Nothobranchius furzeri: one gene and its partners. The main gene of each other region encodes a partner of the protein of the gene in region 6 in a complex. Links are inferred from orthologs where the notes say so. Each region holds a gene or a part of one and is shown on either strand. Other genes may lie near its edges. The genes, in order: rbl1, e2f4, mybl1, tfdp1a, lin52, lin9 and rbl2.

The links.
Region 1: lin9 (region 6) and rbl1 share a complex: the UniProt entries of both Homo sapiens proteins name them as parts of the DREAM complex. The link is inferred for Nothobranchius furzeri from reciprocal best matches to the Homo sapiens genes LIN9 and RBL1.
Region 2: lin9 (region 6) and e2f4 share a complex: the UniProt entries of both Homo sapiens proteins name them as parts of the DREAM complex. The link is inferred for Nothobranchius furzeri from reciprocal best matches to the Homo sapiens genes LIN9 and E2F4.
Region 3: lin9 (region 6) and mybl1 share a complex: the UniProt entries of both Homo sapiens proteins name them as parts of the DREAM complex. The link is inferred for Nothobranchius furzeri from reciprocal best matches to the Homo sapiens genes LIN9 and MYBL1.
Region 4: lin9 (region 6) and tfdp1a share a complex: the UniProt entries of both Homo sapiens proteins name them as parts of the DREAM complex. The link is inferred for Nothobranchius furzeri from reciprocal best matches to the Homo sapiens genes LIN9 and TFDP1.
Region 5: the proteins of lin9 (region 6) and lin52 are in contact, whole or in part, in a crystal structure (PDB 6C48), measured with the Homo sapiens proteins. The link is inferred for Nothobranchius furzeri from reciprocal best matches to the Homo sapiens genes LIN9 and LIN52. Residues at the interface, in NP_001353174.1 of Homo sapiens: Leu335, Gly336, Phe338, Phe342, Leu343, Ile344, Val346, Thr347, Leu349, Ser350, Lys351, Leu353, Met354, Lys356, Lys357, Ile360, Leu363, Arg364, Asn367, Thr368, Ala370, Glu371, Lys374, Ile382, Phe384, Gln385, Tyr388, Ala389, Val392, Leu395; in NP_001019845.2 of Homo sapiens: Asp61, Met64, Leu65, Leu68, Gly69, Leu71, Thr72, Thr73, Leu76, Met77, Val80, Leu83, Gln84, Leu86, Ala87, Leu90, Asp93, Glu94, Glu97, Met98, Arg100, Gly101, Leu104, Asn105, Ile106, Leu107, Glu108, Pro110.
Region 7: lin9 (region 6) and rbl2 share a complex: the UniProt entries of both Homo sapiens proteins name them as parts of the DREAM complex. The link is inferred for Nothobranchius furzeri from reciprocal best matches to the Homo sapiens genes LIN9 and RBL2.

Annotation. Positions count from the first base shown.
Region 1 is NC_091743.1:73,531,970-73,535,469, forward strand, and holds part of rbl1 (retinoblastoma-like protein 1), read right to left. Parts: intron 2,798-3,500; coding exon 2,594-2,797; intron 2,303-2,593; coding exon 2,238-2,302; intron 1,976-2,237; coding exon 1,847-1,975; intron 1,606-1,846; coding exon 1,442-1,605; intron 1,336-1,441; coding exon 1,271-1,335; intron 1,150-1,270; coding exon 975-1,149; intron 360-974; coding exon 193-359; intron 1-192. UniProt on the Homo sapiens protein: Key regulator of entry into cell division. Directly involved in heterochromatin formation by maintaining overall chromatin structure and, in particular, that of constitutive heterochromatin by stabilizing histone methylation.
Region 2 is NC_091744.1:86,777,043-86,779,983, forward strand, and holds the end of e2f4 (transcription factor E2F4), read right to left. Parts: intron 2,620-2,941; coding exon 2,538-2,619; intron 1,410-2,537; coding exon 1,263-1,409; intron 1,128-1,262; coding exon 1,080-1,127; intron 959-1,079; coding exon 914-958; intron 832-913; coding exon 716-831; 3' UTR 501-715; downstream 1-500. UniProt on the Homo sapiens protein: Transcription activator that binds DNA cooperatively with DP proteins through the E2 recognition site, 5'-TTTC[CG]CGC-3' found in the promoter region of a number of genes whose products are involved in cell cycle regulation or in DNA replication.
Region 3 is NC_091747.1:51,681,174-51,684,568, reverse strand, and holds part of mybl1 (myb-related protein A), read left to right. Parts: intron 1-15; coding exon 16-141; 3' UTR 142-3,395. UniProt on the Homo sapiens protein: Transcription factor that specifically recognizes the sequence 5'-YAAC[GT]G-3'.
Region 4 is NC_091754.1:25,779,668-25,783,637, forward strand, and holds the start of tfdp1a (transcription factor Dp-1), read left to right. Parts: upstream 1-1,170; 5' UTR 1,171-1,398; intron 1,399-2,654; exon of another isoform or gene 2,655-2,779; intron 2,780-3,060; exon of another isoform or gene 3,061-3,207; intron 3,208-3,529; 5' UTR 3,530-3,602; coding exon 3,603-3,614; intron 3,615-3,878; coding exon 3,879-3,945; intron 3,946-3,970. UniProt on the Homo sapiens protein: Can stimulate E2F-dependent transcription.
Region 5 is NC_091758.1:32,967,772-32,971,752, forward strand, and holds the start of lin52 (protein lin-52 homolog), read left to right. Parts: upstream 1-1,181; 5' UTR 1,182-1,264; coding exon 1,265-1,283; intron 1,284-2,525; coding exon 2,526-2,600; intron 2,601-2,675; coding exon 2,676-2,713; intron 2,714-2,807; coding exon 2,808-2,874; intron 2,875-3,056; coding exon 3,057-3,140; intron 3,141-3,981.
Region 6 is NC_091742.1:4,995,661-4,999,160, forward strand, and holds part of lin9 (protein lin-9 homolog), read left to right. Parts: intron 1-1,508; coding exon 1,509-1,639; intron 1,640-1,822; coding exon 1,823-1,948; intron 1,949-2,057; coding exon 2,058-2,215; intron 2,216-3,500. UniProt on the Homo sapiens protein: Acts as a tumor suppressor. Inhibits DNA synthesis. Its ability to inhibit oncogenic transformation is mediated through its association with RB1. Plays a role in the expression of genes required for the G1/S transition.
Region 7 is NC_091744.1:80,482,516-80,486,595, reverse strand, and holds the start of rbl2 (retinoblastoma-like protein 2), read right to left. Parts: upstream 2,801-4,080; 5' UTR 2,583-2,800; coding exon 2,445-2,582; intron 2,379-2,444; exon of another isoform or gene 2,326-2,378; coding exon of another isoform or gene 2,287-2,325; intron 1,858-2,286; coding exon 1,727-1,857; intron 1,648-1,726; coding exon 1,447-1,647; intron 1,239-1,446; exon of another isoform or gene 1,116-1,238; intron 981-1,115; exon of another isoform or gene 907-980; intron 1-906. UniProt on the Homo sapiens protein: Key regulator of entry into cell division. Directly involved in heterochromatin formation by maintaining overall chromatin structure and, in particular, that of constitutive heterochromatin by stabilizing histone methylation.

The DNA of each region.
Region 1 (3,500 bases), on a different chromosome or scaffold from region 6:
ACACGAACAGAAAATAAACAATAAACAAAACTTTCAAAACAATCTTTATGAATTTATTTATTTTATCCATTACTTGATAATCTTCTAACCTCCTGCTATAAAACACCTCCACGCTCTCTTGTTTAGTTTATGTTCCTCTGATTTGTTCAACAGAAACATACAAACAAAAAAAGGTTAAATAAGGAGACTGACTTGAAGATCTGGACCAGGTTCTCACTGGGGGACGTTCTTAAACCGGCCACCATGCTCTGCAGCCGGCTGACGCTCTGCGTGGCCAAGGAGACAGGAGTTACGAGCAGGTCCTTCTCCTTCAGGTAGACCCGCCCGGTCAGAGGGGTGGACGGGGCCAGAGAGCTGGACTGCACACAAGGGAGGAGATATTATTTAGTCTTTGGTCCTGTAAGAGCTCCTTAAACCACAACATTCACGCCGTTTCTTGTTCGTTAGCTGAAGAAAGCTACAGAACAAAATGCTGAAAACCATTCCTAGAGATTAGGCTCCAAACGGGTGTGATTTAAACATCAGTCCTGCAGATCTGGAACAGCAACTCACCCCCTGTTCTACACATGCTAAAGGCAGCTAAACATGCTAATTTGGACTCCATAACCCGTAACAGAAGTCCACAAAGTCAAAGAGCCTTTCAGCAACAAGAACTTTTAGCTTGTAGCATAAAGAGAAGATTAACGGAAAACAGATGTGACTGTTTTTGTCCCACTCATCAACGACTTTCCTTTCAGAATGTTAAACAGCTGCAGTCGGCTGATTTGTTTCATCCAAGCTTTTAGCATTAAGAGAGAAAAATTTTAAAGTTTCTAAAGTGCCGGCGATATATAAAGAGAGATCTTCGGAAAGCGAACAGAACTTCAACTCAACACCACCTAACAATAAAGGAAGTATAATAAACGAGGGCCGAACATCTCCATCAGGTGATGGTGGGACCTCAGGGATCAGCAGTTCCATGTTAGTGTCTGCACCTTCTCCACGTGTTGTTGCAGCTGGTTCTGAGCAACCGTTTGGCTTGCAGTGCATTCCTGAACAATCTTCCTCGGCGTTCCGATTTCCTCATCAGCATCCGCTCCCAGGAACACACGCTCATCAAAATCTCCCACCGTCAGCACATACTCCTCGTACTCCCTGTTCAGGGCCTTGCTGCAGACGACAGCACACAGACAAAACAATCATTCACTAAAATAATTTATTTACTGCAGAAAAAACAAACACCAGAAGAAACTTCACAAGGAGACGGAACAATACGTATCTTGTTGCTTACTTGTTGTCTATGAAGTTCTGAGGATCTAACATTTCAGTCAGAAGGTCCTTGTTTCCTTTCAAAATCTGATTTACGCACAAAGAAAACAAAAAAAAAAATTTTAAACTATTTTTCAAAAACAACACAAATCCTGAGTATCAGCCGATATTTTAAAGTGAGGAAGATGTGCACCTGTTTCTGGAACAGTTTCTGCACGAACGGTTTGAAGTAGTGCTGCTTGATGCCTTTGGCCTCCACCACCAGCCCATCATGCAGCTCACACAACTTCTCCAACACACAAGGAGGAGGCTCGCCTCGAGAAACGTGGCTCTCGGCACGAAAAGAGGGGGGCAAACCTGCAGGAAGTCATGTGATCATGCCAACACTCATCAAGCAGTGTAACTGTTCTGCTGTAGCGAAAGGAAACAGCTTCTGCAAGAGGAGGAGCTTCATCCAACACAAATACTAAATCTGGCATCAAGAGTTGAAAGAGTTTAGAAGCTTCATCTGTGGCTTCATGCACAAAGATCTGGATGCATTTTAAAGATCTCCTAATGTGGAAAAGGTGGAAACTGAAAGAGGAGCTCAAAGTTTTACCTCTGAACACGGGGTTGATGAGATCCTTTCTGTTTGCACACAGAAGAGTGTTACCAAACACCAAGTCCAGGCAGCACAGCAGCAGGTGGTACGAGTTCACCAGGTCGTCTCCGATCATACGAAAGTTACCTTCAGAGACGCAAAACGCATAAATCAAACAACAGCAAAAATAAAATCCCACCTTTCTACAACAAGCTGATTCATTGATGTTTAGATATAACAAATTAGCTGTTTGTGAAGTTAAAGTGTCAAACTCAGCAGTAAGATTCTATAAACATGAGATATTTTGCAGATACATCAGCTGATTTGCTGACTCCAAGCAGAAAAGTTAAAGCTACGACTCTAAACGTGCAGCCCGAGTCAGTCAGCTGTTAGGTTTTATTCTTGGTACCTTTAGTGTAGACAAACAGGGTCCAGCAGAACTTGAACACATCACTGATGTGGCAGGGCAGTCGCCTGCAGTCAGAGGTAGGAGACAAATATGCCGTTGTTTAGTGACTCTGTGTTCCACTTTTAAAATTAAGGCACTGTTTGTGATTTCAGTCTGACCGGTGTGTGAAATATAATCCCCAGTTTAAGCTCATCCTTGTTCAGAATCAGAAAAGTTTCATTCAATGTTTAAAAATAGAATAAAGTTGAAAGAAAAGGCTTAGGCAGGGAGTAGCTAGGGGAACTTTCCACGTGAAGAAAATACATAGTTCTTGGGAATGTAGGGTCTAAAAAACCGTGCGTGCGCGTGTGTCATGCCTGTGCTTCCTGCTGCGCGGCTGACGTGGCGGATCACATCCCTGTGGATTCTGAAACAAGTCCATGAAGATGGGCTCAAACTTGCGAAAGATCACAGTGGAAACCTCAAAGTTTCGCTCCAGTCGGTCCATTCGCAGCCTGAAGTCCTGCGAGAGGTTGGACATGTCGGTCCACTTCCTCATCTTTGAGAAGAACTGGATCAGACTGTAAACAAGACAGAAAAAAGAAACATTAGGGAGCCTTTCAATGTATTTTACTAAGTGTAAAATGAGGGCTGTTCCGATCACCCCCCCAATCCAAGTCCGAGATTTTGAGTATCTGTCGATTCCGAGTCCCGATCTAATTCTTCGGCAATGCATTAGAAAGGAGAAAGAAAGAGAACACATCCAAGTTGTCTAATGTGTGGCTGTAATAAGCAATGCATGTTCCTGTGACTGGGCAGTTACGTCCCAATGGCAGGTTTGGTCTTTTCTGCAAAACACCAGAGAGATGCGTTTGTAATGATGAGAAGGAAACATACCGCACCTCCAGGAGACGCTAAAACCAGACGTTCGCAACTACAGACTGCTTTTTTATGTTTTGCTGAGACCTTTTACTCTTCATAAACAATTCTCTTTGCTTTTTACTACACACTTTGATGTTTGCTGGCTTCGTGTTTTGTCCGACGCATTGCTGTGAACTCCGAGTAATGAGCTCCATTTGGGGTGTTTGTCTTTAAGCTGGCAGAATAGAACTAAATGCAGACAGGTGATTAACTGCTGGGAACCCTGAAGAAAAAGACGGTTGTTTTTTTAAGAAGCTGTATCAGATTCACAGTGTTGAATGCAGTTCTGTCACTGTCTGAGCTGCACACACAACTCTTATGTTCCTGTCACGCTTTGCAGCTGATTTTCAGAATTTATTTATG
Region 2 (2,941 bases), on a different chromosome or scaffold from region 6:
TCTTTACATAAAGTCTACTGGCTTAAATAAGTTAAAGTTCTTCTTCTAAAAGTGGTTGAGAGCACCTTGATGCCAACGGTTTTGGTTAAACGTGACAGAAAATCCACCGCTCTAGTCATGCAGGAGAGAACAGTTTGTTGGGCCTGGTGTTGGTTTTCTAAATATCTGTCTGCATTAGAAATGCTGTTAATAAGCCTCGTGTGCAGGTAATACAAAAAATATATTCTCTATGTACAAGAGGACAGTGCATATGTCACCAGCTGACTCAGCGAAACTATTCAGCTCCTGACCGGACTGAAAAGAAGGATCTGTTTTTATTCCTGGGGGATGTCCGACACGATTTCAGAGAAGCAAACTCTCTCACACACACACACTCACTCACTCACTCACCCACCCACCCACCCACACACACATTCAGGCATATGGGAAAGCTGACACGCAAGCATAATTTTTTTTGTACACGAGAATCCAAAAATATAATTCCGACTCTTGTTTTTCCTTGGAAAAGTTGTAAGTAAAATGTTTTGTCCTCGTCTTTGTTTCTGCGCTCCCGTCTGAACTCGGCTGGAGCTCTTTTTGCCGATGCAGCCGAGTCCTCGGAGCACTTCCTGCCCCTCTTCTAGTCTTCGCTGTCGGAGAAAACAGGGCAGGAGGACTTGAGGAGAATGAGGACAGATAATCATATTTGGGTAACAGTTTTTGTTTAAATCAAAGGTCAAAGGTTGAGAATGGGCACATCAAAGAGGTCACAAAGACCTTCTGTCTCATCCAAATTGTAAATGTAGTCATGATCACTGGGAGGAGGGGACAGACGAAGGAGAGGCGAGAACACTGAGGGCGAAACACAAACAGGAATTACACAAAGACAGTTTGTTCGTGATGATGTTGCTGCTTTGTCTGTAATCATATTCACCTTCTGATGACATCAAGTCCTCCAGCAGGTCTCCACTCATGATTTCTTTCAGAAAAACAAAGTAAATCCATATTTACCAGCTGCTGCATCCCGTGAAATACTTTCTATTACATGTAGAGACGCGTGTGACTGAATTTACGGTTTAAGAAGGGCTGAAATGGTTTACCTTTAGTTGGATCAAACATGTCTGAAAGCTCTTTGGGAAAGTCCAACACTGAAGGGAAACATTTCAGTAAAACGGTTGCAAAAACACTTTTTACTAAACTTTTCTGAAATGTAATCTGCAAACAAAACAATCAAAACTTATTCTGAAATGTCCTTCACAGCTTTAGAAGAGCCCGACACTCACATTCAGATGGATCCGACTTCATTGGTTCAAACGCAGCAGAGACAGAGGACGACGCGGATCCGTCCAAAGAGGCGGATGACTGTAGCTGCTGAGGAGGAGCAGCAGGTGTGCGTGATGCGGGGCTGAGAGGAGTGGTGCTCGGCGCCTCTGAAACAAAACCAGAGACACAACGTTAATGTGAGAAACTCCAGAGGGAAGTGAAGAAGCAGCAGAAAATAATTCACTCGGTAAAAGGCCCGTTTCTGTATACAACCCCCCAAGGCGCTTCACAACACAATCAGTCATTCACACGTTCACACGCTGGTGGGGATGAGCTACGATGTAGCCACAGCTGCCCTGGGGCGCACTGACAGAGGCGAGGCTGCCGTACACACGTACCACCGGGCCCTCCGACCACCACCAGCAGGTAAGCTGGGTTAAGTGTCTTGCCCAAGGACTCAACAGCAGCATTCTCTGGTCGGAGCCGGGATCGAACCTGGAACCTTCCGATTTCTGGACAACCTGCTCACTCTACCTCCTGAGCTACTTGCTTAATCACTACATGTGCAGCAGTCTCTAGTAGGAACAAATGCCTTTCAAGTCGTACTCGGGGGAAACAAAGCTCAGATGCGCTTGTTTCAGGAACTAGCAGAATGCTACATCAAAGGAGAGCTTAACGCGACAGGAGTCTTACTTCCTGATATGTGGACATCTCGCCTCTGATTGGATAACAGCAACACGACTCTACCACTGACTCTGGCTGCTCTGCAACGTTGATGTTTTATCTCCACAAATAACACAAGCCTGAAGGAGTTCTGCTGTGTGGTGGAGTTGCTAATGCTAACGGTTAGCTTCTACTAGCTGAGGAGTTATCTGCCGTTTCCTGGACGCTAAACCAACAACAGCCTTCCCCGTCGTGAGTCCAGATGAGTGAATCCATGAATGTTAGTGACAGGGTGACGTAGATTTGTCAGGATTTTCTAATCCAAGAGCCGTGGTACTAAATTACGGACCTGGAGGGCCGGTATCAGCACGTCGTCCGTTTTAACTGTTTTAACAAACTGAATTCAATCAGCAGGAAACTAACAGGCTGCTGCACAGGTGGTTCAAACATGCTGGTTAGCAGCTCTCCAGGACCGGGACTGAGAACCACTGTCAGACGCTGATGCAGGACATAGGTGTAGGAGACTTTTTTCATGTTCAGCTTGCATGGAAAAACTCAGAGTGACTGATTATGAACAAAAATAATCATCAAAAACGTTTTTCAGTGAACTACACCTTTAAAACGTTCCCCACCTGTTGTCGTCTGGTTGGCTGCAGAAGCTGGTGTTAAGGCAGGAGCTGCTTTTGTGGCCGTGTCTGGAACTCCTTTGGGACCCTGGAGGGGAAAATGGAACAGAAGAAACGTCAGCATTGCACAAAACGCCAAATGTAACGAAGGAGACTATCGCTCACATTTAAATGGACACCTTACAGTAATCCTTTAGAATAAATTCTATGTTAAGAAATTTCTGTAATTCATGGTAAAGTAAAACAAATGGCCACACACTTGAAATTCAAAGCAGAAGGTTTTTTCCCATCTTAGCTGCTTTTACTGAATCAAAACTGTGGCCTTAACATTAATTAACTATTTTTTACCAAACTTGAGAAGTTTGAACGTTTGAAGAGAAAAACCTGACCGTTAAATACGTTTCCCATCA
Region 3 (3,395 bases), on a different chromosome or scaffold from region 6:
CCTCTTCCTCTGCAGGTAAGTGAGTGGGAAGCAGTGGTTTATGGGAAGACTGAGGACCAGCTCATCATGACAGAACAGGCTCGTCAGTACCTGAACCCCTTTTCATCGTCTGGCTCTACCTCAAGGGCTCTGGTGCTTTAAAGGCCATCCCCTTCAGCTAGCAGCATTACATCCGACTCAAACGTCCACCAAGTCCCCGTGGGAGACAATCCACGGAGCAGAAACACCGTCCACATACAGGCACGGCTGCTGGTACTGTTAACGCATGCTTAGGTCACGTAGTTCATACTGATCAGTAGCTTCAGACTTATACAGTGGGGGAAAAAAGTATTTAGTCAGCCACCGATTGTGCAAGGTCTCCCACTTAAAATGATGACAGAGGTCAGTAATTTTCATCATAGGTACACTTCAACTGTGAGAGACAGAATGTGAAAAAAAAATCCATGAATTCACATGGCAGGATTTTTAAAGAATTTATTTGTAAATCAGGGTGGAAAATAAGTATTTGGTCAATAACAAAAATTCAACTCAATACTTTGTAACTTAACCTTTGTTGGCAATAACAGAGGTCAAACGATTACTATAGGTCTTTACCAGGTTTGCACACACAGTAGCTGGTATTTTGGCCCATTCCTCCATGCAGATCTTCTCGAGAGCAGTGATGTTTTGGGGCTGTCGCCGAGCAACACAGACTTTCAACTCCCTCCACAGATTTTCTATGGGGTTGAGTTCTGGAGACTGGCTAGGCCACTCCAGGACTTTCAAATGCTTCTTACGGAGCCACTCCTTTGTTGCCCGGGCGGTGTGTTTGGGATCATTGTCGTGTTGGAAGACCCAGCCACGTTTCAACTTCAAAGCTCTCACTGATGGAAGGAGGTTTTGGCTCAGAATCTCACGATACATGGCCCCATTCATTCTGTCCTTAACACGGATCAGTCGTCCTGTCCTCTTAGCAGAAAAACAGGCCCAAAGCATGATATTCCCACCCCCATGCTTCACAGTAGGTATGGTGTTCTTGGGATGCAACTCAGTATTCTTCTTCCTCCAAACATGACGAGTTGAGTTTATACCAAAAAGTTCTACTTTGGTTTCATCTGACCACATGACATTCTCCCAATCCTCTGCTGTATCATCCATGTACTCTCTGGCAAACTTCAGACGGGCCTGGACATGCACTGGCTTCAGCAGCAGAACACGTCTGGCACTGCAGGATTGGATTCCCTGCCGTTGTAGTGTGTTACTGATGGTGACCTTTGTTACTGTGGTCCCAGCTCTCTGCAGGTCATTCACCAGGTCCCCCCGTGTGGTTCTGGGATTCTTGCTCACCGTTCTCATGATCATTTTGACCCCACGGGATGAGATCTTGCGTGGAGCCCCAGATCGAGGAAGATTATCAGTGGTCTTGTATGTCTTCCATTTTCTGATAATTGCTCCCACAGTTGATTTTTTTCACACCAAGCTGCTTGCCTATTGTAGATTCACTCTTCCCAGTCTGGTGCAGGTCTACAATTCTTTTCCTGGTGTCCTTCGAAAGCTCTTTGGTCTTGGCCATAGTGGAGTTTGGAGTCTGACTGTTTGAGGCTGTGGACGGGTGTCTTTTATACAGATAACGTGTTCAAACAGGTGCCATTAATACAGGTAACTAGTGGAGGACAGAAAAGCTTCTTAAAGAAGACGTTACAGGTCTGTGAGAGCCAGAGATTTTCCTTGTTTGAAGTGACCAAATACTTATTTTCCACCCTGATTTACAAATAAATTCTTTAAAAATCCTGCCATGTGAATTCATGGATTTTTTTTCACATTCTCTCACAGTTGAAGTGTACCTATGATGTAAATTACTGACCTCTGTCATCATTTTAAGTGGGAGAACTTGCACAATCGGTGCCTGACTAAATACTTTTTTTGCCCCACTGTATTTTAACATATTATTTAAAAGCCGACATAACGATACTGGTGTGTCTCGCCCCGTTGCTGTTATGAGATAAAAACAACACTCATGCTGCCGTTTTTAAAATCACACTAAATCACACTTTTAAATACAACACCAATCATTGTTTTTCATTAAAAAAACAGCAGCGTGGTTGTTGTAACAGTATGTGGGAATGTTTTCTGTCAGTATTGCACTACTGAGATAATTTTGCTGCTGAGGAAGGAGCGTGATTATTATTATTATTTTTTATGAGCAGACTGGATAGCACTTCTGAATAACAACACAACGTTTCCTTTCCAAGGCCATAAAAAAATCAGCTGAATGTATTTCATTGCAATGGAAGAACCTCAAACATGGAAGGGTACTTTATTGTTTATTTCTAATTGTTTTATTTATTTTTCAGTTTTTAAAGCTTAGATATTAATATAAATCAGACAACATAAGGTCTAACTGCTGACAAAACAGCCTAAAAACTCTCTTGCTCTAAGCATTGCTACCTTTTATTTTTCAACTTTCAGTCCCGGTGATTCATTCTGACTTCATACCACAAAAATCAAGCATTTGGCTGAGAAGGATTATAGTTTTCATGTGAAGGCTGTAGGTTCTATTTATTTACTATTTATTTATTTCTTTGAAAAAGAAAACCTTTAAGAAGAATTATTGAAGAATTTTATCAATCTTTTCACTTTTAAAATCAGGATTGGGCTACAGTTCATTTTCCTGCACTGCCATTCATTTTAATTTGAACTTCTCTTGATCGTACGAGATGTAGAAAATAATGTTGTAGATATGTGAGTGATGTTGTAACATAGATGAGGCTTTTTCCTCACCTTTAAATTAAATGTCGCTGTTAGGTAGCAGGACACCATCTCCGACCTCTAATCATGGACAAATTGCACTTTTTATTCATTTGAATAAAAATTTTAAGTTCATTTGAAGGATGTAGCTCTTGTTTATGTGTTTTAGATGTGTTTCTGTCTATGTTAGTTACTGCTGCTTGATTTTCTCCCGTTTGGCTGTGAAAAGGTGTGTTAAGTTCTCCTTGTCCAGTATCTCACTAGGCTGTTGACGACCAGACAGCTATGCAAACTTGAAAGAAAGTCGACACATTTTCAATTTAGAACAAGTCTAAATCGGTTCTTAAGTTATTCTTTTACGAAGTTTTATATTGTCAGTTCATGAGGGATGTAAGATGTAACAAACCGCTATTTAGTCAAGTCAAAATTTGTTTAACCCTCCCACCGTCCTAATGGGTGTGACCCTGTGAGGAAAGCTGACCATTGAGCGGGGTTGATGGTTTATCCCTTGGGTCCATGTGGCAGGGGTGAGGAGTGAGCACCACCTCACCCCTGCCACATTGACCTCAAGGGATAAATCACCAACCCTGCTCGATGGTCAGCTTTCCTCACGGGATCACCCATAAAGACAGTGGGAGGGTTAAAAAGCACATTTAAGAAATATCTGC
Region 4 (3,970 bases), on a different chromosome or scaffold from region 6:
AAACTGGTGACAACTGGTTTTGAGTAGGGAGAAAGAGGGCCAAGATCAACATGACGATCCACATTCCTGCTGTTGGGGTGAAAAACAATGAGCTCTGTCTTTCCCTCATTCAGATGCAGAACGTTGGCCATTAGCCAAGACTCCACCTCGTTAATGCAGGACACAAAGGACTGGATATAGTGACCTTTCTCCTGACACAATGGAGCATCAATCTGGCAATCGTCAGCATAGAGATGGAATGATAGGCCATGTTTACGAAAGATTGACCCCAGAGGAAGCAGATAAATGGCAAACAAAAGAGGACCAAGGATCGATCCCTGCGGGACCCCCCAGCGGAGCCCCTCCCAAGAAGAAAAAACATCACCCAGTTTAACGCAGAATGTTCTGTTGTGGAGATCCAAACCAATCCAGAGCAGACCCTTTGATCCCAACCCATCGTTCCAAGCGATCTAGTAGAATCGCGTGGTCAACTGTGTCGAAGGCTGCCGTCAGGTCTAACAACAGAAGCACCACAGATGTACCCTGATCTAGTGATAGATAGATGTCATTTAGGACCCTCAGTAGAGCCGACTCTGTGCTATGGCCAGACCTGAACCCTGATTGGAAAACCTCAAACAGATCAGCGTCAGCTAAATGTGAGACCAGCTGCTGATAAACGACTTTCTCAAGCAGTTTTGATGTGAAAGGCAGGGTAGAGATAGGCCTGTAATTTTCTATCACATAGACATCAGCATAAGGTTTCTTCAGGGTCGGCCGAATAACTGCTGCTTTCAAAGCAGCTGGGACCACACCTGTGCAGAGGCTCCCATTGATAATCTGACCAAGTGATGGGCCAAGACACGGAAAGGCAGCCTTCCAATTGTATACATTGTATGCAAATGTATTTGTTATTTTTTTAAATCAAATTGTTCTCTTAAGTGTTGGTGCTGCTGTAACAAGTGAATTTCCCTACTGTGGGATTGTTCTATTCTATTCTATTCCATTCTATTCTATTCTATTCTATTCTATTCAGATATATCAGCTGAAATTTGGCATCATTCAGTGTGGTGTGTGGTATTTTTTTCAATCGAATTAAAGAGGAAATAAAAGTGACAGGCCTAAAAACTATTCCTGGTAGATATAATAGCGACTAATGAAAAATCCTCCTCCTACTCCTGCGCAACAGATGGCGGTAAATGCATCCCTGCAGCTGCCTGCTCTCCACCAATCCCAGGAGAAGTAGGTTGTGGGCACGACTCACGTCACTGCTATGGTTACGTCACACCAGTGTTGTCCAATCAGACGCCGCTGTAGCGAGACGCCGCCAAGATCAGATTGTGAGAGGCACTGCTGAAAGCGACAGGCTAGCAGAGAGCCGTGGAAAGGCTAGCTGACGGTGTGCTAACGTGAAGTGCTCTGGTAAGATGCATCCACTGTAGGGTGGCTTCCCACCCGGCGCAGACCAGAGCTCATATACAAGTGTTTAAACGGCCTTTATGTCTTGGTCGACATGAAAAAGTGTTGATATCACACGAAGCTAACAATGGTAAACTTTCTCGATGACAGCTGGTAGTTAGCTTGCTGGCTAGCTAGTGGGCTAACAAAGCGCTGGAGGTTGCGATTTCTCATTGATATCGAGTTAGCTCGTAGCTTTGATAACCAGTTGCTAACTAGCGAAGTGTTGATCATCGATCTACTTAACGATCTTGTCATGGTTTCTATTACCACGGTTATAACTTACTAAACAGAATATGCAACAGGACTTGTTTAAATAGTCCGCAGACATGAAGTTTGAAATATGTAACTCATCTGAATGTAGAAAGAGCTTTCACTTTCTTTTACTGTAACGAATTAAAATAAACAAATTTTATTTGTTTAAGCCACATATTCATTTAAATAAAAATTTAAAGCGTGATTAATTGGCTTGAAACATTTCAATGAAGTTTTTAACTTTTTCAAAAGTGTACTTTTTGCACAAAAAGCTAAAATATCGATTAATTAGATTTGTTTTGTTCTGATTTACTAGGTTGTTGTGACCAAGAGGCCCATGAATGAGATCAAAACTACTGAGAACGTTTAAGAGAATGTGATCAGTTGTAGCAGATAATTGCGGAATCCCAAAATATAAAATTACTTTACATTTGTATAACTTGTTTATTTCCGATTAACATTATATATTAAATTTGCTATTTCAACTGATTCCTTTTGCAGGCCCAGGTCCCTGAATTAATGGTGTCAATATAGTTTTTTATTCACTTCTTTGACTTAATTACTTTAATATGAACTCCTTTTAGAAGAAATGTAGATCAAATCTATGGGCTTGATCCACACATTATGTTGTATGTTTATTAAATTGAAATGTAGTACCTGTTAACATACTGTTGTTTATTTACCATAATATGCAGTTTTAAAATGTTAGGTTTAATTTAACTTGAAAACTGGTTAGTGCATTATATTCATGACAAAAATGTTGTACAGCTCATTTTGCTTGCTTTTGTGATCAGTTTCTCTGATGAGATGAATGATGTTTAATGGTTAGTCAGCTGCCAGACTCGACCAACAGGCAAATCCTGGTATCAGTTTTTGACATAGCGACAAAAAACTGACCTGAGGAAAAACAACTCTTTAATCATATGCTTAAGTTCTTTAAAGGAATAACTTTGATTTATGAATAAAATAGTTTTAAAAGTACATTAGGATTGCTGAGTTTGTTTCCTGTTTGGATGGGATTTAGACCTCCTCTTCCTCCATTCTCTAATGCCAACAACAACAGCCGTCGAAGAGACAAGAGAGTGCACTCGTAAGTGCACGGATTCGCAATTTAAACCCCTCTAATCGTGCAAAACGCGCAGTGCTTTTTTCCAATATCAGTTCTTACTTAAAGAAGGCTATAATCTGCAGCTCGGACCAGAAATCTCTGAATTTTCTGCCAATCGTGTGAAAACGTGCATAAGCTAACTAGCAAGCTAAGGAGCAGCAGGCTGTTAGCAGTAACGGTTAGCCGGCTGTAGTCAACAAAAGATTGTTCATTATTACTGACATGTGGTGTGAAACCTGCTTCTGTGGTGGACTGATTTACTATCTGTAACTATATTTTAATCTCCGTGGAGAAAAATCAACAGTTTCGTCAAAGTTGGCACGTTTTCGTGACCTGTAGCAGAAGTTGGACGATGCCTCTCCTCCGGACGTGATCGGTACCTGAAGTAGGCCTTGTGCACACATAGCTTGGTAAAAGTTGTGGGCATCAAGTGAGGGTTGACTGTGCTTTTTTGTGTTTACATCTAAAGGCTAATGACGCAGCGGTTTGTACAATTAGCTGTAATTTCCGCCAGGTTTGTTTTGCTAACTGAGGAAAAAGTGGAGTAAACATGATGATGGAATTAGCTTAGTGTAGTGTGCTGTGCTCATAGCCAACCATTGAAATGGGCCTGGGTTCATAAATGAGTGCAAAAGCTCATTCAAATCCATCTGTGCCGTGGGGATTTATAGGAAAATGTTATAAATAAGTGAAGCTTGAAACTTTTGCTCACAGCTTTCATTTCTTCTGCAGGGGTCTGAACACTTGAGTGACAGAAGGAACAATTTTTTAATCTGAACTAAACTCCTTCAGGTCCTTTGGGATCATGGCTAAAGATGTGAGTAATTTCCCTCAATATTTTCATCCATATGCACATTATATCTTGTAGCCAGATGAGATGGTTCTTGTTGTTTTAGCATACCTATTATTCTAAACCATCATTAATGTTTGACAATAAACCCAAATTGCAAAATGATCCAATTACCCATTTGGTGTAATTTAAGGAGATATGCACACTTAAGCATCCATTATTGCATCACTACTATCTTATATTATTTTTAATATTCTATATTTGCAGCATAATGAGTTTTGTCTTTTACAGGCTGGTTTGATTGAAACAAATGGAGAGCTGAAGGTTTTCATCGATCAGAATCTGAGCCCTAGCAAAGGTATAACTGAACCATCTTTTGACTT
Region 5 (3,981 bases), on a different chromosome or scaffold from region 6:
ATGGGTTCTTTTTGTTCTTTGTCTAAATAGATTTTTACAAGACGGACTTAGTAGAAACTCTTGCTCTATTTTTTAAAACACTTGTTTCGTTGAAAGAATGGAGAATGTGCGCCCTCTGCTGGCAAATAACAGAACAACACAGGTTTCCAACTGCATGCAGACAAGAAGGGAGTATTTGCTGCCCTCTAGTGTCTGAAATTTGATACTGCACATCCGATTTTTAAATCCATTTAGAAGGGAATATTTAGCCTCTTTAGATTTTTCAAAAATTCAATCACATATAGTTGCTAGCTCCGCTGGCAATAAATAGAACGACACTCTAATTTCCAACTGAAATCTGGTACTGCACGTTCCTTTTAGACATTCTGAAGAGAATATTTAGCCTCTTATTTTAATAAAGCTTAAAAAAAATCCATCTCTGTTTTAACTGCTAATAGCCCCAGCTATAGCTAATAGCTAAAATTTTGTTGTACACAGAAAAATAAAATAGATTTGCTGATTTTTAATTTTTAAGTAGTTTGTACAAGTGAACTAGGCCTGGGACGATAACAGATTTTGCAGGACAATATATTGTCCAACAAATTATTGCCAATAAACAATATTATTGTTGACATTATCGAGACCAAAATAATCACTTATATAATTTTAATATATCATAATAATGCAAGTACACCCTTTAAAATGCAGCAAATAAAACTCTTGTTAACATTAGAATGTTCAGAATCGAACTTCTAAATAAATGAATAAAACAAACAAACAAAAAAAAGAAATAAATAAAACGGACTTTCACTCACTGTTAGAAAATATTGCACCAAAAACCATAAAATAGATCCTGTATTGGGTCATCAAAGAAAAAGGGTTGGGAACCACTGACCCAGACTCTTCGAACTTGGACCAAATTGTTGTACACAGATAGCAAAATCTGTTCAACATAGATTGTGATATGTAAAACCACAGATCTATTTGTAAAAACACCGATTTTCTTTTCTTTCACAAATGTTGGAATGAAATTGTGTAAAATTGTACAAAATGTTGAAATGTATCTTGCCTGGCCATGGAACTCGCTGTGTGCTTAGCACCCCTAAACCTCTGATGCTAGGATCGCCCCTGACACTTATTATAAAATTATTAGTTTATTCATTTTACCCCCAGGAACACGGCTTTGGTGTGTAAGAGTGACCTCTTGTGGTGTGTTTGTGAATTTACAAGGCTTTGTCAACATTGACTCCTATTCGTTGTCACGGGTCACGTGATTATTGTGAAGATGGCGTCTCCGAATGGAGGTAAATTTTAATTCCTTACACAGATACGCTGTTAAAAAATGTAAAATTTAACACTTTAAATCACACAAATTATTCCACGAATGTATTGATGATGTAGCTGAACACCCAGAATTCAGAACTACACATATCAGCGTTGTAGTCCGACTTCTCGGAGGTGGTTTTGTTTGACTGAAGGCTCCACTAGCCCCGGTGTTGTTAGTCCACCAACGTTCAAGGAAGAACAGTAGACAGCTGGCTGCAGACCTTCCGTAACTCCTGATATTTTAAATACTACTAGCTTTTGAGTTGCCTCTTTGTTAAATACTGGCCTAATAATTAATATTTACGACATTTTTCCAACATTTTGAGGCATTATTTGTTTCACATCAACATATTTTGAAAGGTTTTTGAAAGGTTATATATATATATATATATATATATATATATATATATATATATATATATATATATATATATATATATATATATATATATATGTACACACACACACACTATGTAGGGTCATGTATTAGGAAGCATAATGCTAACACAAATTGTTACACTAAATATTGGTTTTAAGAATAGTTTTTGAATAATCAGCACACAGTTGTTGTCACAGCCTAGCAGAAATGGTTGTATAGGGACTTGAATCAAGCAACATTTAAAAATGAAAGGTATGATAAATAAACTAAACCTCCCAAATATTAGTAATTTTTTTAAGAACAGCTGATTAATCAGTATTTATCTTGTACACATATTTTGTTTTAATACAGCCAACATATTGTATTAACTGTTGTGGTTACATTTTGACATTTGTTTGGCTGTAGTCATATGGGCCATTCCCATCTGTACCGGGTCGGTCCGGGCCGGGTAGCGTTGGTTGTTTACATATCTGGGTGGCCTGGTATTTTTCCGGACCAACCAAGGCTCATTCTCAGCCCTCTTCTCGAGGGGGTCTGCTTCAGGCCGACCAGGGCCAACACACCCACTGCTGACAGCAAATTCACACCTTCCATTAGAGCAAGCCTCTGATTGGTGGGTAGAATCAGCCCACATGGGCGTAAGACAAGGATGTGTGGAATCAACCGGGCCAGGATGGGGCCGACTGGGGCTACCCGGCCCGGGCCGACCCGGTACAGATGGGAATGGTCCATAAGTCACACATTTTACTTGTATTTACATCAAGAAGATCACATTTTGTTCTAAAGCTCTGAAATTTCTGCCTGAATTCTGAACATAATTTTACTTCCTTTTCTTTGCCAGGTGATGATTTTGAAAGCTCTTTGCTTAGTTTAGAAAAGCTGGACAGAGCGTCACCAGACCTGTGGCCTGAGCAGTGTAAGTTTTCATCTCCTCTGTGCTTCTTTATGGTCCCACAGTTTAACCTTATCTGTCCTGTCATTTCTCACACAGTACCCGGAGTTGCAGAATTTGCTGCATCCTATAAAAACGTAAGATACGTTTTTTGTCATTAACTGAGATTAATACATTAAATAATCATTTAGATTTGGCATTGCCGTATAATATCATTTATTTTTATTACAGCCCATTACAAGCTCACCCCCTAAGTGGATGGCTGAATTGGAAAGCGAGGACATCGAGATGTTAAAAGGTTGGTACAATTGTTTTTTTTTTTAATATATGTTTAATTAGAAAGATTTTCTCTGTGCCTGCAGCGTTTCATGTTAAAACTGTTGTACTGGTTAGTGTTTCCATAAATATATAATCTTGTCAAGGAGAAACTGAGTTGATCAAACTGGAGCTTAAAATCTTTGCCTTGTAATCACTCTGCAGAGCTGGGTAGTCTGACAACAGCTAACCTGATGGAGAAGGTCAAAGGACTTCAGAACCTGGCTTACCAGCTGGGTTTAGAGGAGTGTAAGTACAAAACACACAAACAACATGAAAACATAGGCTGTGATGTGTTCGTGTAGTTTTTAGTTTTCCCAATCAGCTGTTTACGTCTATCACCACCAGGTGGTGCTAGTAGCCTTTCCACTACTACGTTTAGTTGCAGAATCAGATTTACTTTTTGTTTGTTCAAAATAGGCTAAAATCACATGGATGTTATTTATTATTCAAAATCAGAGTAGATGTTATTGAAAGTGCAATTGTAATTTAGAGTCTGCATAAAACAGGTTGGCCGTAAGATCTTTAAAACAAGGATTTAGGTCAGTCTTGTTAAATGTAAACAAGTAAGAAATGAGTGCATGCCACCAAGAGCTCACACAAGCAAATGCTCAAGAATATGATGGATGCACAAGCTCTTGTTTTAATCCATTCCCTCCCGCCTCCATTGTAATAATCCTTCTGGAGTGTGGATTAGAGAGATGTAGCTAAGTGCTGATATTATCCTAAAAGAAGATAAAAATGTTTTTAATGTTTCTAGCGTAAGAGAATCGTTGTACACCTCCTCTTCAGCGACATGTGTAAATAAACTGAAATGGTAGCAAATTGTGTAAAATAATGTGAGTTTAAACAGCAGGGTAGATGGCAGCCATGATGTCGGTTCTTTAATGATAATAAATAGTTTGTAGAAGGTTTAATAAAACTTTAATGCCACTTTAACAAGAAAATGTTCATCTATAATAAAAAAATCACCCCAGAGTGATCTACATTTGGTGGTAAAGCAAATCAATATTTTAATGTTGCAGAAATCAGATTGATTCATTTTGTGAAATAATTAATTTTAGAAATGATTTGTTTGCCTTGCCTCCAG
Region 6 (3,500 bases):
ATGGGTTCATAAATGAGTGTTTAATGTCTCTGAGCAGCTCTAGAGTCAAATATTTATGCTGCAGTTCAAGTCTGTCAGAAATGACACCAAATGAAATGTTTGACTTAGTTTATTTTATTTGAACCCAGTGGTTCATTTCTGAAATGTTGGAGCAGGAATCAAGTTCTGTTTGATGCAGAAAATAATAAAACATCAAACTAATTATACACTTCCAATAATATTTAAGATGTGTGTTTTATTCTTGCTGATAATAACACCAGCAGAAGGCTGTGGGCTGGATTAGGATTAAATTACCCAGCTGATGGATCTCCTTCACTAACCAGCTAACTACAAACCTTTCCACTAAGCTGTCCTGTGGGACCCTCACCATGTAACCCTCCATGCTGTCTCTGGAGGAGCAGGTAGAAGACAAGATCTCCTGTAACTTAAAATGAACCAAAGCTTCCTCCCAGTTTCTCTTTAAGCTGAATTTAACATCATTTTATCTTCATGAAACAAAAGAATTAAGTGGAACAAGAACTTCTATCTTCTATTTCGCTCTCCTTTTAACTTCTCCGTGTCCCTAAATTAAAGAGACAGACGACCACGCTGCAGCCGCCATCACTGACCCCGCCCCCTCCCCAAGACCGGATCTCCCAGCATCACAACACTCGGTCTGACTGAGCGCTTCCAGGAGAAACAATAATTAAATTATGAAAATAATTATGCGTGTTTGGAGCATCGGTTTGGAGGAGCGTCCTCCGATCCTCTCTCTTGTGTGAGCAGACAGTGTCTCTCTCTCTCTCTCTCAGTCGTTGATCGAGCGAGCGGAGCGCGCCGCATGACGACCCGCTCAATTAACATAATTCGCAGCCCAATTCCAACAGAACCGGTTGGGCTGATTCGGTCTCAGGTTACAACTCTAGCGTTCAGCCCTGCAGTACCACATTAAGGCGGAACCACTTGGTAAATGTGGAGGACGCTCACTGACAGATTTGGATGCTGCGCTGGTGCTGCCGTTAAAACAAAACTACATTCCACCATAATCGATTATGGCGTACTCTTCTACGACGCAGAATCGTTTATGTCCGCATCCCGATGCATCGATTATTTGATTATTTTCCTCAGCTCTACTGTAGAGAGCCGTTCATCTTGTCTTGTGGTAACGAACGTCCCCGAAAGTCGGCAAAGCGCGCTCGCTTAACCCCCTTCCACCGCTGCAACCATGTTGCTCTTATCACACACAAACACACACGCTCTGATGGCTTCGCTTCATTCAAAGGAGCCAGTCTTTTGAACGGCTCTTTGAGGTAAATGACCGACTAAAGAATGACTGCCATGAAATGCCATAAATCTCATCACTAACGCACAGTGAGAAGAGTTTCACTTTTGGACACCAGGGGGTGCTAAAAGCAAGCCAAAACTACATAGTTTCCCTTTAATTGCATCATTGATTTTTGTGTTTATGGCCTCATGGCTCTTGTGTATCTGCATGTGCATTGATGGTTGTCTTGCATTTGTCTCTGCAGAAGTTTTCAAACATCATGACACCAGATAAGAAGGCTTCACAGAAAATAGGGCTGAGATTGAGAAACCTCCTTAAACTACCCAAAGCTCACAAATGGTGCATCTATGAATGGTTCTATTCCAATATCGACAGGTAACGTCTCACTTTGGAAGATGTTGGTCATTTACACACAGACATATTTGAGTTGGTCTGTTTTATTCTCCAGGTACATTTATAGTAACTTAAGTCAACCTAGATGTACAAAACAATTTAGTTCACGAGTTAATGTCTTGTTTAATTGCACTTTCAAAATAAATTTGTTGTTTTTTCTTCCAGACCTTTGTTTGAAGGTGACAATGAGTTCTGCTTGTGCCTCAAGGAGTCTTTTCCCAATTTGAAAACAAGAAAATTGACCAGAGTTGAGTGGGGAACCATCAGGAGGCTGATGGGAAAACCTCGACGGTACGCGGTGGTCTCTACGTTTGTTGTTCCCCGTGTGTTTCACCTGAATGTTGAAGCCTCAGATCAAAGCCGGTCGATGTTACAGTTCTGGTTCTGTCGACACATCCAGGTGTTCATCGGCTTTCTTTGCTGAAGAGAGAACCGCGCTGAGGCAGAAGCGGCAAAAAATGCGCCTTTTGCAGCAGAGGAAACTGTCAGATGTGTCAAATTGCAAAGACCTTCCTGATGAAATTCCTCTGCCACTCATCATAGGGACAAAAGTCACTGGTAAGATCACCAGTTTCACATGTACTGATGATTCTGCAACATTTTATATGACTTGTTTAAAAAAAGTCTATAGAAAATCCTTTCCACTAATGAAATTATAGAAACAGAGTAAGTGTCTGCTAGTTTGTAGTTTTCACAAATGATCTGTCTTGTTCACGAGTGAGGGAAAGATGGAACGAGAGATCGATAGGCGGATTGGTGCTGCATCTGCAGCGATGCAAGCGCTGTACCGGTCTGTCGTGGTGAGGAGAGAGCTGAGCCAGAAGCCCAAGCTATAGATTTATCAGTCGATCTACATTCCCATCCTCGTCTTCTCACCTTCTCAGTGGCCTAGTGGTAGTGTCGGCCCTGGGACTGGGAGATCAGGGTTCAAATCCCGGTCGGGTCATACCAAAGACTTTAAAATTGGGACCCAATGCCACCCTGCTTGACACTCAGCTTTTAGGGGTTGGATTGGGGGGGGGGGGGGTTAACCCACCAAAGAGTTCTCTAGCCACTGCTGCAGCTCACTGCTCCCCACGGGGATGGGTCGGATGCGGAGATGTATTTCACCAGTATGTGATGATTAATGGGATTTTGCAGGGATACAAGCAGCAAAAAAAAAAAAAAATCTATGCAGGGTGTCTGGGTTTTTACAAAATAATGCCGTCATTCTGCCACAACCCCCGTGGCGTCATCAGGGACCCTTAGATTGTTTATAGGTGGTCAGACTGTGGTGGTAATGTGGCACCATTGTGTCTTTTTTTATAAAAGTTTAGGTGATGGCAGCATGAAGGAGGTATGGGGCGATCTCTGAGATGCCGCAGATTTCTGTTTATCTTGAACATAACTTGCTTTTTATTGCGAATGAAGCCACGATCGTTTTTTTAACAACCCGCTCCTAAAGTGTTCTATCCTCCACAGTCCATGTGCAGTCTCCGGTGATCTGAGCTTCAGCTCTAACCGAAAGAAGCTCATGTTTGCCATCTCAGCTGATTTTGTTCAAAAAGCAAAACTTACTGCCCGTGTTTACTAGAGCTGAGGAAAATAATCAAATAATTGATGCATCAGGATGCGGACATAAACGATTCTGCATCGTAAAAGAGTACGCCATAATTGATTAGAGTGGAATGTAGCTTTGTTTTAATGGCAGCACCAGCGCAGCATCCAAATCTGTCAGAGTGAGCGTCATCCACATTTACCAAGTGGTTCCGCCTTAATGTGGTACTGCAGGGCTGAGCGCTAGAGTTGTAACCTGAGACCAAATCAGCCCGACTGGTTCTGTTGGATTTGGGCCGTAAATTAA
Region 7 (4,080 bases), on a different chromosome or scaffold from region 6:
GCGCGGCGCTCCAGCAGTAATGAGTTGAAATCACCGGGGCACAGATTATGAACTCAGCTGAGGCAAAGCACGTCAGAAAAGCACAAAATACCAGAGAACATGCGCTGATATGAACGATCGCAAGTGAATTATTTTGTTTTAGTGGAGCGATTTTGTGAATATAACAGCGGCCGCGTGCAGGACGCAGCTGAGCCGTTACCGCTGCGTCCTCTCTGCCCGCAAAGCTGAGTCCATAAATGACGTCATATATGCAGATACTGGATCTTTCTTCGGGTTTCCCGTAATTTGAATTTTTAAGGAACACGTCTTGATTCTGGGTTTAAAAATGCATTGTAATTACCGCGTTACTGACAATTGTACCGAGTAAATATTACCATTTTCTTTCCCTGTAATGCCTTACATTACCACATTACAGCAAAAAGCAATGCATTACAGTAATTAATTACTTTTGTACCGCATTACTCCCAACACTGCTTTTAACAGCTTCTAAAGATTGTTCCCCGATTTTGCAGCTATAATTGTTATATTTATAATTACAAAGTAAGAGAGACGTGGTTCGCATAATTTAGCTAATATCAGTCCACAATGCCGCAGGCTCGGAGTGAGTGTTGTGTGTGTGACGATGTCACAGATGGGTTCAGGTAGAGTTAGTAATCTCAGCGCTGATGCAAAGTTGGAGGGACACTGAGGAGCAGCTCCTCCTGCTGCAGACCTGACCCGGATCTGAACTGGTTCTGAGTCCGGTTCTCATTAAAACATGTCTGATTCTGGACCCTGAGTTAGTTCTGAGAGCAGTCAGATCTGTGTTATTGCCGTGTTATAAAGCACATGAATTAGACAGTTAGTTTTGTACATGATCTAAGTTACTAACCTCCCACAACAACGTGATGTTATTATTGTTTTCAGGCTAAATCTACCAAAGAAACCAGACTGATGTAGTCCTCCACCAGCCTGCACCGGTCCAGGCTAGAGCCTTGCAGGTGAGTTATTTTTAACCATCTGTCTCTCTTTACCTTGCAGTTTTAACATTATGTCATTTTAGCTTACCGTTACACACGTGTATTGCTGCTCTTAAACACTACGATAATATTTGCAATTTCTTTGTTTTTCCGTAGCCTCCCAGCAGCAGCGTGTCTGACACTGGGACCATGATGGGAACTCCACCCAGAGATTTGTCTTACAGCTAATTTTATTTGTGTCTTTAAATTATAATCTGATTTATGTTGTCACTCCTGGAAAGAACGCTGAATTACTTCTATGCCTGAAATGTGCTATACAAATAAAGTTACCTCGCCTAAGGAAAGGTCAAAGGTCATCCTAGTTAACAGTTCAATTCTGTGTTTAATCTATGGGAAACTAAATCTTGCAAAGGTGATTTCAGCCAACCAGACCCAGAACAGGAAGCAGGTGGACTCTAACGAAGGGTCGGAGGTCACGTGGACCCACCTCTGTTTGCGACTGCGATGGACCCGAAGCAGCTCCTCTGATGGGGTCTTGAAGATGGATCTGAAGATGGGAACGTACTTCTTGAAGATGACGGCTGAAACGGTGAAGTTCCGCTCCAGCTTGTCGGTACTCTGACAGAAGTCCTGTGGCAGCTTGGCCATGTCCTGCCACTTCTTCATCTTACTGAAGAACTCGATGAGGCTGGAAGAACATCAGAACCGCTCAGCAGATCCCGTCACATGACCTCCTAGCAGCCGAGTTATGGACCAAACACACAAACCTGATGTGAGAGCAGCGCAGGACTCTGGTCAGTGACACGTAGTTCCCCTCAGTAGTCCCCTTCCCCACCGTGGGCACCGAAGACCTGCAGGCCACGTAGAGCGCACAGGCCAGCCAGTGCAGCTCGCTGCCCTGCACACACAACGGTTCTGATTACTGCACCAGCTGGTTATGGGTTAGGGTATAGGTTCGGCATAGTGGAGTCACTAAAATGAATGGAAGTCAAAAGAGGTCCACATAAACATATAAATACAAGTGTGTGTGTGTGTGTGTGTGTGTGTGTGTGTGTGTGTGTGTATTTCAGGAAAACAACTACACATACCGGCCTAGGTCTATCTGCCTGTCTATTTAGTAAGAGAGAGGAGTATTATATTATTGTATGCATCTCCATCTCTCTACATATATCGAGAGAGAGAGAGAGAGAGAGAGAGAGAGAGAGAGAGAGAGAGAGAGAGAGAGAGAGAGAGAGAGAGAGAGAGAGAGAGAGAGAGAGAGAGAGAGAGAGAGAGAGAGAGAGAGAGAGAAAACACCTGAAGTCATAGCTCAGAAGAAACACCAGACCTCATTGGTGCTGCATCCAGAAAAAGGAGATGCGTGCATCTGCAAAAGGCTGCTGCCATGTTGAACGAGGCGGTTCCTGCTGAGTTGGAGACCTAGATGACATTTCATGTCAGACGTTTTGGCCCGAATGGACCGAACCCTCACCAGCACCTGCTTACCTCCAGAGTGAAGTTCCTGCTGATGTTCTCGTAGCTACTCCACGCTTCGGTACTCGCCTCTTCGTCCATGTTCAGAGCTCGGCACAGATCCTCGAACCTGGTTCGGATCTTCACAAGGCGCTCCTCCTCGTCGCTCATGTTCGTCTTCGGGACCGAACCGAACCGAACGGACAAAGCGCGCCTTTAGGGTGGAGCGGACGAGGCTGGCGCAGTTGTAGCGGCAGTAACGGCGTTATTACGGTGCTGCGCGGATCGGCTGTGTAGCCATTTAAATGTCCTCTGACAGATGCGCGAGCTGTGACGTTTTTGACGTACACAGCGCAGCCAACCACGGAGGGAACGTCACATGTGTGCGTGCATACGTTAGAGAATCGCGGCAGCAACGTAACTCACCCCAGCCCACTAAACTTGCGTAGCGTAAGCCAAATACAACTACTTCCGGTTGCTCTTGTTTTCTGACGTCCACCGAAACGCCATCAAACTTGATTGTTTTTAAAGCACGTGACCGTTAGCGGTGCTAGCCAACACGACTCAGCAACAAAGCGTGGCTCTGGTGCTCAGACTGGTTCTGTTAAGCTGCTCGTGAGTCCCTCATCAAGTGTTACATGTTTGAGGTTTGGCCCACAAGGTGCAGTAACAGCCTTTTACCAGTAGGTGGCGCAAGGAAGCCTGCAGAGAGCCGTGACGTCTGTTGTTTTATTTCAGCTAGGACTTTGTTTTAAAATGGGAAAATGTATTTTGTTTTTTTCGCAAGCACAGAAAGGAAGATGTATACTTTGTTATAAATTTGTTAATTATTCTAGCTAAATTCTATCTCCACAAATGCAAGTATAGTAACTAAAAACCTAATTTCAAGCACTATTATAGTGACACTCTATCTTACATAAAATTGATTAGTGGATCACTAAACAAAAAAGCTTTAAAAACTATAACTATTTGCACCACCTATAATTTATTTGGATGTGTGTAACATTTCTGTAGTGCACCCCCTGGCATATGTTTCATCTTTGTTCAATTTTGTATGCAATTTGTTTGTATACTTATCACCTTGTTCAATAAAGTTTTGAAAAAAAAGTCTGTTATTTTATTTTGTTTAATTGTGCATGCAATTTGTGTGTATACTCATCACCATGTTCAATAAAGCTTTTATTTAAAAAAAGTCTGTTATTTTATTTCCTGCTTACTCCTAGGCCCATCTGTTCAGGACTCTGGTACCGCGGTACCTATTACACACCAGCTAATAAGCCCTGGTTATTAAAGACTGGGTTGGACTAATCTTACTTTAGTGTTTATTTCAGGTGATGAGGATCAGTCAGGACGGGTCCAGACTGGTTTGTGCTTATGCACCAAACTGCTGCAGCCTATACCCACTTTTTTTGGAGTTCCTGGAGGAGGTTCTCGAGCGTGCTCTTTCTGGTTACTCCCTCGTTGACCTGGGTAGTGATGTGACATTCATGAATGAATCAAATCTTTTGAACGGGTTTTCAAAGTGAATGATGAGAGCCGAGACCCTGTAGAGAGCCGTTCATCTTAACAAACCTCTCTGGAAGTCGGTCAGACTCACCCGCTCAAACCCCACCCACCGCTGACGGACGTGGGAGGAACCATAGAAACATGTGTTTATATACATATCTCG